2 linked regions of the Saccharomyces cerevisiae S288C genome follow. The protein of the gene in region 2 binds, or shares a complex with, the protein of the main gene of each other region. Each region holds a gene or a part of one and is shown on either strand. Other genes may lie near its edges.

Evidence for each region. Proteins that work in one complex are often made in the same cells at the same time.
Region 1: CTI6 (region 2) and TOD6 share a complex: the UniProt entries of both Saccharomyces cerevisiae proteins name them as parts of the RPD3C(L) complex.

Annotation. Positions count from the first base shown.
Region 1 is NC_001134.8:115,550-119,666, reverse strand, and holds TOD6 (Tod6p), read right to left. Parts: upstream 2,079-4,117; coding exon 501-2,078; downstream 1-500. Other genes in the region: SAS3 (histone acetyltransferase), read left to right, coding at 1-288; YBL055C (3'-5'-exodeoxyribonuclease), read left to right, coding at 2,838-4,094. UniProt on the Saccharomyces cerevisiae protein: Component of the RPD3 histone deacetylase complex RPD3C(L) responsible for the deacetylation of lysine residues on the N-terminal part of the core histones (H2A, H2B, H3 and H4).
Region 2 is NC_001148.4:201,466-205,500, reverse strand, and holds CTI6 (Cti6p), read right to left. Parts: upstream 2,081-4,035; coding exon 560-2,080; downstream 1-559. Other genes in the region: TCO89 (Tco89p), read right to left, coding at 1-253; tRNA (34-2'-O)-methyltransferase regulator RTT10, read left to right, coding at 2,965-4,035. UniProt on the Saccharomyces cerevisiae protein: Component of the RPD3C(L) histone deacetylase complex (HDAC). Responsible for the deacetylation of lysine residues on the N-terminal part of the core histones (H2A, H2B, H3 and H4).

The DNA.
Region 1 (4,117 bases), on a different chromosome or scaffold from region 2:
CAGGATGAAGTAGAAAACGATGTAGATACTGAATTATATGTAGGTGAAAACGCCAAAGAAGATGAAGACGAAGACGAAGACTTTACCCTTGATGATGACATTGAGGATGAGCAAATATCAGAAGAAAATGATGAGGAGGAAGACACATATGAAGAAGACAGTGATGATGATGAGGATGGGAAGAGAAAAGGACAAGAGCAGGATGAAAACGATATAGAAAGCCACATAAGGAAGGAGAGAGTCAGAAAAAGAAGAAAAATAACTCTAATAGAGGATGACGAAGAATAAGCGGCGATGGGTATATATTGGATATAAGCATATACATGTAACATTATTAATAGCAATAAGAACCCTTGTAGTCAATAGTATTACAGAATTCTCCTACGAATAAATTTTATGTGTATATATAAAGATATATATGTGTGTGTGTACATGTGTGGGTGCGATTAATTTGTACTCATTAAACGAATAGTCAAAACAAACTAAATTCGTCTCTTAGCTTAAAATATATTTTTAAAGATAGAATTTATACCTGGAAGTTCATCTTGCTCATTGCGTATGTCATTTGCGCTGGTCATAGAAGAAAGCTCACTAGACTTTGGATTATCATGTTTAGCCTCTAACATACCGTAATTTTGCGATTGCTGCGATGGCGTGTTAATGCCATTCTCCTTGTGCAGTGGGTCAATGTCATCCTCCTCCTCCTCGTCTTTGCATCCTTCATTTGTATGAAAACCACTTACACGTCCTTTTCTCTTTAAATAATCCATTCTTTGTTGGATTTCCAACTCGGATCTATTATTAGGCAGAACAATAGAAATTTCTAGCGGCGACAAATGGTTTTGTTTGTCCTTCGTATTGTTAAGTAGCACTTCATCATCTTCTCTAGACCACGGGTGTTTATTAGCGAATTTTTGCATATCTAAGAAAGTCCTCGTGTGCGTGATTTTGTCATTTGCGTGGTCTGTCTTGCAGTTGGGAGACGCTATGGGGTTAAGATAGTATTGGTGCTGTGGATGATAATGAACGGATTGCGATGTAGATAACCTTCTGGGTGACATATACGGGCTAACTACCAAGGAAGCTCTTCTAGAAATAGGCTCCGTAGGAGCGTGAGAGTTGAAGGATGATCTTCTTGAATGCATCATGTTAAAAGATGATCTTCTAGAAGAAATTACGGAATGCGAGTTTTTCCTAGTCTTCGTCGTTGAATGAGGGATTTGAGTTGAAGGAATAAAGGAGTTCCTTCTAGACCTGATAATAATTTTAGGCACAAGACCAATATTCTCATAATCATTGGAATTAACAGCTTTATTTGTCTTTGCTGAAGTAGTGTTATAAAGGCTTAGATTTGTCTGCTGAGCAGTCTTTACATTAGGCGTGTTGGTTGTTATAGAATGAGAGAAGGACCTTGGCTTAACAAACAGTTTCCTTGGTTTCGTGTGTTGTGGCTCATGGTCCGAAAATGTTGATGTAGATCTTTGAGTTATCAGTTTTCTGTCCATGTATTTAGGCTTAACTAATGGCTTGAAATCCGGTGGAGAATCCTCGATAGCACTAGAACCTGCAGTAATATCTTCATCCTCAACAGCTTCCTCTTTTACGGCTTCTTCCGCAGACGGAGTACCCGCGGATGGGGTAGCATCACCAGTCGCATACACGCCGAATAGCTTATTGATGTCAATAACTGCGGTCTTGTTAGACTTTAAGTTGCCTGATTTCAGTCTCCTCCATCTGAATTGACAAGCGTTAGGAGTTCTATTTGGGAAATGATGTGCAATCTCCTTCCAGCCCAAGTTCTTGATCTCTTTCAGGTGGCGGAGCTTGATATCATCACTAGGGTCCCAAGAAGAGGGGTTGTTTTTTTTGAGTGATTCCGCCTCCTCCTTGTTCGTGCTGTTCTCTTTAGTGCTAGTGCTACTGATAGGCAGGTGGCTCTTCGCATTTGTGTGAGAAAGTGAGTGGGAATGGACAAGATTATTTGGGTGAGGGTGTTTGCTTAGTATTGAGAAACCATGTGAGTTGGCACTAACATGTCCTGATGAAACAGAAACGCTACTGAGTTTCGGCAACGTCATCGCGAGGGAACTTCAATAAGAACAGTGATATATTCTTTTCTCTACCCACTGTCGTGTATATGCCTTCTTGAGTGAGTAGTTTTAATGACTCAAGCAGTGGAGATTTGCCAGATTTGTTTACCTGAAAACAAAATGATATGAAAAGCCTTTATTAATATCAACGTACAAAAACTATACACGACTTCTGTGTAAGGAAGTAGAAAAGTGTCTCATCGCATTGGTCTCGCATCTCATCGCATCGCATCTCATCTCAATTTTCAAATTTCAGCTCTCAGCAGAGAAAAAATTTTTTTTTCACCGGACCAAAAATAGCCTCTCTCACCCACAGATAACGTCGCACACTAACAAGATGATGAGACAAGATAGGCCAAACCGCTCAAAAAGGAACTCGAAGAAGAACGGAAGTGGAGTTTAACTTTAGAACCTAACTGCTACTAAGTGTTGATACGCTAGGCAAGACACCTGCGAAATCCCGCTGCGAAATACCTGCAAAGAGGTTGCTAAACAGCAGCCAGAAGACTTGCGCTAGTAACGTTCCTGAAAAGCTTTGCACTGCAGGCATTTCTGAGCCTTTTCCGGCCTTCTAGAAGGCTTAGCCCCTACTAACGCCGGGTTACTTAGAACAGCACTCTTCTAAGAACAATCTTTCCAGCATGCTGGAAGGGCCCAGTGGTGATGTCCTGGTAGCAATGGACAACTAAAGGTGGACACTTTCGCTGCCAAGGCATTTTTTTGAGGCGCCAGTACTGTTATAGTTATATGTGGGGCATCTTATTGAAATCCTCGAACAAAAGTTGTTCTAGGCTCTGGAAACCAATTTTGACACAATATTATAGCATGACATCAACTGCCACGGATTCTCCGCTGAAATACTATGATATTGGATTGAATCTGACAGATCCTATGTTTCACGGTATTTACAATGGTAAGCAGTACCATCCAGCAGATTATGTAAAATTATTAGAGCGTGCTGCTCAGAGGCACGTGAAAAATGCCCTTGTTACAGGATCATCCATAGCGGAGTCTCAAAGTGCCATTGAGTTGGTAAGCAGCGTCAAAGATCTTAGCCCGTTAAAGCTGTATCACACAATAGGTGTTCACCCATGTTGCGTTAACGAGTTTGCGGATGCTAGTCAAGGGGACAAGGCTAGCGCTTCTATTGATAACCCTTCCATGGATGAAGCATATAATGAGTCTCTATATGCTAAAGTTATTAGTAATCCATCTTTTGCACAGGGTAAACTGAAAGAGCTTTATGATTTGATGAATCAGCAAGCAAAACCTCATGATACAAGTTTCAGGTCAATTGGTGAGATCGGGTTGGACTACGACAGATTTCACTATAGTTCTAAAGAGATGCAAAAGGTTTTTTTTGAAGAGCAACTGAAAATAAGTTGTTTGAACGATAAACTCAGCAGCTATCCATTGTTTCTGCATATGAGAAGCGCATGTGACGATTTTGTTCAAATATTGGAAAGATTTATTGCCGGGTTCACTGATGAGAGGGATACCTTTCAGCTACAAAAGTTAGGTGCATCGTCGTCTAGCGGGTTTTACAAATTTCATCCAGATAGAAAACTAGTGGTCCATTCATTCACTGGTTCTGCGATAGATTTGCAGAAATTACTGAACTTATCACCCAACATCTTCATAGGAGTAAACGGTTGCTCGTTGAGAACCGAGGAAAATCTAGCTGTTGTAAAGCAAATACCAACAGAAAGGTTGTTATTAGAGACAGATGCTCCGTGGTGTGAGATTAAAAGAACGCATGCATCTTTCCAGTACTTAGCCAAATACCAGGAGGTTAGGGATTTCGAATACCCTGCATTCAAGTCCGTTAAGAAAAATAAGCTCGCTGACAAGTTGAATGCAGAAGAACTTTACATGGTCAAGGGCCGTAATGAGCCTTGTAATATGGAACAAGTAGCAATTGTCGTATCGGAAGTCAAGGACGTGGATCTGGCTACTTTGATAGATACCACGTGGAAGACGACCTGTAAGATATTTGGAGAGTAACATCTATTGGTGCAAAGAGCAAA
Region 2 (4,035 bases):
CACTAATCGTTCGCTTTCTGAAAAGTGCATCAGAACTCTTGCATTTCTGAGAAACGTTGTGCTTATTAAAATAATCATTATCCAGGGTGCCATCATGTGTTAAAACTCTACGCAAACCTTTGAAGCTTGCGTTACTCTTTGCTCTCGACCTAGTCGAAAACTGTCTAAATGGCTTTGACTGGTGTGATACTGTTGACGCATTAAGAGATGTTACATCAGTGTCTGACTTCAAAGTCCTTCCTCGATGAACCATAATTATAGTTACTCAGTAAGGATATATGATATATCCCAATATCTATGTTTACCTGACCCGTAAATCGATAGAATGTGCTAGTCCATTAGATGTTTGGATTCCTTAATCATCGTGCCAGCCAAATCGCTATACCATCCGCAACTAGCTATCCTTGCGGTTACCCGTACAAGAGTAAGCTCGGTTGATAAAAACAACGTTGAATTAGTCGTTTTTATATCCATATAGATGTATATATATGTATAGATGTGTTTGTTCGCCTCATTACAGTTATACTTTGGTTGAGAATAATATTGCAGTGTTTTGCGTTTATTGAATGGCATTAGTGTTATTTGAATATTTTTTCTCCCATAGTAGTAACTCTCTAGTCAGGTCGTCCATCATTGATAGACTTTCATTATAACCGTTGTAAATCGTATCAACTTTTTCTACGAAATGCTGGTTTTCCACGAATCGTACAAATTCCTCTCGATCAGACTGATCTTCACTCAATTCCCATTGAGTTCTAGAAATGAACTCCAAAATAGCGGATACCCTTCTTCTCATTTCGTTTAATGAGGTCCTTTGAGGGGGTAATCTGGGCTTTACTGGTTTGTCGGTACCTATATCAGCACTCCTTCTATTTTGGTTGGTGTCTGAACTTGTATTGCTTCGACGAGTTCTGTTGCCCTTTCTTGCTGGTTTGGAAACTCTTTTAGAACCCCTCGAACTAGCTTTCCTTGAATCATCCTCAGAAGAAGATATTGAGGTTAGGGGTAGGATGGGTTCATCAGTTTTCTCAGTGTCTTGCGCCGAACCCGTAGAAGATTCCTTTTCTTGACTAGCTTCTTTTTCCACATCATTTGTTTTTTCCATTGATTGCTCTTTCGATGGTCGTAGGCTTTCTTTCATATCATCATTTGTTACCGAGTCCGGTTTGCCTTCCGTTAGCATAACATCCGTTTGTAATCGAGTGGTGCCGTTGTGATTGTCGGTATCACCTTGGTATATATCAGCATCATTTTCATAACTTTCAGGATCTTCTTGATGTGATGTCCTCCTGCTTTCTTTCAAGGCTTTTTCAAGCATTCTTTGATATTGCTTTTCTTCTCTTGCCATGAAAGTTGCCCTTTTTCTATCCAGTAGCTTCTTATCACTATCTCCAGGATCCAGTGAATACTGATCGGTAGAAGCATCATCCATTGAATTCCTCCTCCTCCTTCTACTTGACCTCGTGTTGCCGTCCTTGGCTAATGCTACAGCCGAAGCTTCATCTTCTACTTCATCTTCTTCGTCGCCGATATCGTCGACGTTATCATCGGTATTGCTGGTATTTCTGGGACTTTTCTCTGCTTCATTGGCGGCATGAGATTTACTTGCAGCTGCACTTCGTGCCTTCCTTCTTGATTGCCTCCTTTTCTCTTGCACAGGTTTATAGATTGACCTTGCTTCGCCAGTATCTGTGGTAAAGAGCTGATGTAACTCCGGTCTGCATTGCTCGCACCAATATTTATCAGGTGCGTTGTCTTGAGTAATACTCACACAATAACCGTGCTGCCAGGAACTGCACTGCTCACATTGAATGAAAAATCCGGAGTCATCTGGAGTATCGAGCTCTCCACAGATACAGCGAGTTTCGCCTTCCTCTTCCTCGACTTCCCCCTCTCCACCTTCCATAGGAACATCTTCTTGTTTTACACTTTCTTCCTGTACACTTCCAATCGCCGCCGTTGTTGTCGCTGTTGATGTTGTTGATATAATGTCTGTGGACCCACTAGCAATGACTTCCGCTTTCTCCATATCTTCACTACCCACAACAGGGCCTTTAGGCACTATTGCTGTCGATTCCATTACTCTTCTCTATACTCCTATATGTTTATGCTATCTTTTAGTAAGGTTACGCAAAGTAAACTTCGAAGGAAACAAACTATTGATGGTCTCTGTTGTGAACTTTGTACCCCTGTAAATACCCAGTTACATAAAATTCATATACGAAAACCAACAAGAACAAAAAAGAAAAAACTAATCAACAAAACGTTATTTTTTGATCATGCAGTGAAAAGCCACCAATAGAAAATTGAAAATAGAAAATGCAGCTGATTGTGCTGTGCGGTTTACCTAGTTTACCCATAGCGGAGAAATTTTTCAAAACTAATTGATTACGTTAAAGCCTGTCTGCGACGTGCTCCGTCCTATTTCCGCAAGATGATGAGGGTAATGCCCTTTATAACTGCTCAAAATAAAAAATAACCGCCGAGGTCTTTTTAATTATCAAGGTTATAAGAAGTGCCAGAAGTGGGTGAACTTAACTCAATAAAAAAATATTAGTGACGAACATCTATCAAAAATTGAAAATTGAAGGTACTGCTCAGAGAAACTGAGTCTGGTCTTGCCTACATCTTTAAGAGGAATTTGTTCTGGTGTATTATTTATACAGCCGATAACATTGATGATACTCTCAGGGTCATTTTCACGTAGTCGTGCTTTGGTGAGTTGTATACTACCCTACGTACTTTTCACCGCTTATGTTTTACACTGGGGTCTGAATGATAGATTTAAGCCTAGCATACACATCGGCGTCTCACAAAAAACGACGCTGCTGAAAAAAAAAATGTAAGAAAAAAAAAGTGGAAAAATATGAGCATGAAAAAACTTCTGCTAGCGGACCTCATCGTTATTTAGCTTCTCATTCCCGCCAATTGAAGTTGCTCATTGAAGAAGAATAAGTGATTAAAATGAAGGACTTGTCTCATTATGGTCCTGCGCTATGTGTTAAATTTTACAATGATTATGTTCTAGCTGGTTATGGGCCTTTCATCCATGTCTATGACTATCATTCGGCTACGTTGATTAACAAATGTAGGCTATTTCACTACAATAAAGTTCATGGACTTAGCCTTTCTAGTGAAGGGAAAATTTTGGCCTATGGTGCAAGATCAGTAACAATAGTGGAACTTGAAGACGTTTTAAAGAAAGAGTCATTGGTGGATTTCGAAAGGATTAACTCAGATTGGATTACCGGTGCTACATTCAGCTTTGACAACTTGCAAATATATTTGTTAACATGTTATAATAAAGTGCTAATTTGTGATTTAAATTGTGAAGTTCTTTTTAGGAAGTCTCTTGGGGGAGAAAGATCTATTCTATATTCCGGTATAATTAAAGTTTTCGGTCCGGATAAAGTATATGTTAACGCTGGTACTGTAATGGGCGGTGTTATCATTTGGGACCTGTTCTCGGAGACAAAAATTCATAACTTACTGGGTCATGAAGGTTCTATCTTTTATGTTAATTTAAGCAACAACGGAAGATATGTTGCCAGTTGCTCTGACGACAGATCAATTAGACTGTGGGATTTAGAAACTGGCAAGCAGCTGTCTGTTGGCTGGAGCCATACGGCAAGAATATGGAATTTAATGTTTTTTGATAATGATTCAAAACTAATAAGTGTTTCTGAAGATTGCACATGCCGTGTATGGAACATTATCGAATCACGAGAAAACGTTGCCGAATTATCCATATCTAACGTTTACGAAGTACATTTAATCAAGAGTATATGGGGCGTTGATGTGAAAGACGACGAAATGATAGCTGTAACCTCCGGGAATGATGGTAGGTTAAAGCTGATTGATCTTCTTCAACTGAAGAGACACGGCGATGAAGAAACATCGTTCAGTCTAGATGATATCGCAAAGCAATGTGGCGATATTTTCGAAAAGAATGAAAGTATCAAGGGATTTCAATGGTTTTCATTCGGTGTAATTGCTATCACTTCATTGGGTAAAATACTTAAATACAGTGATGTC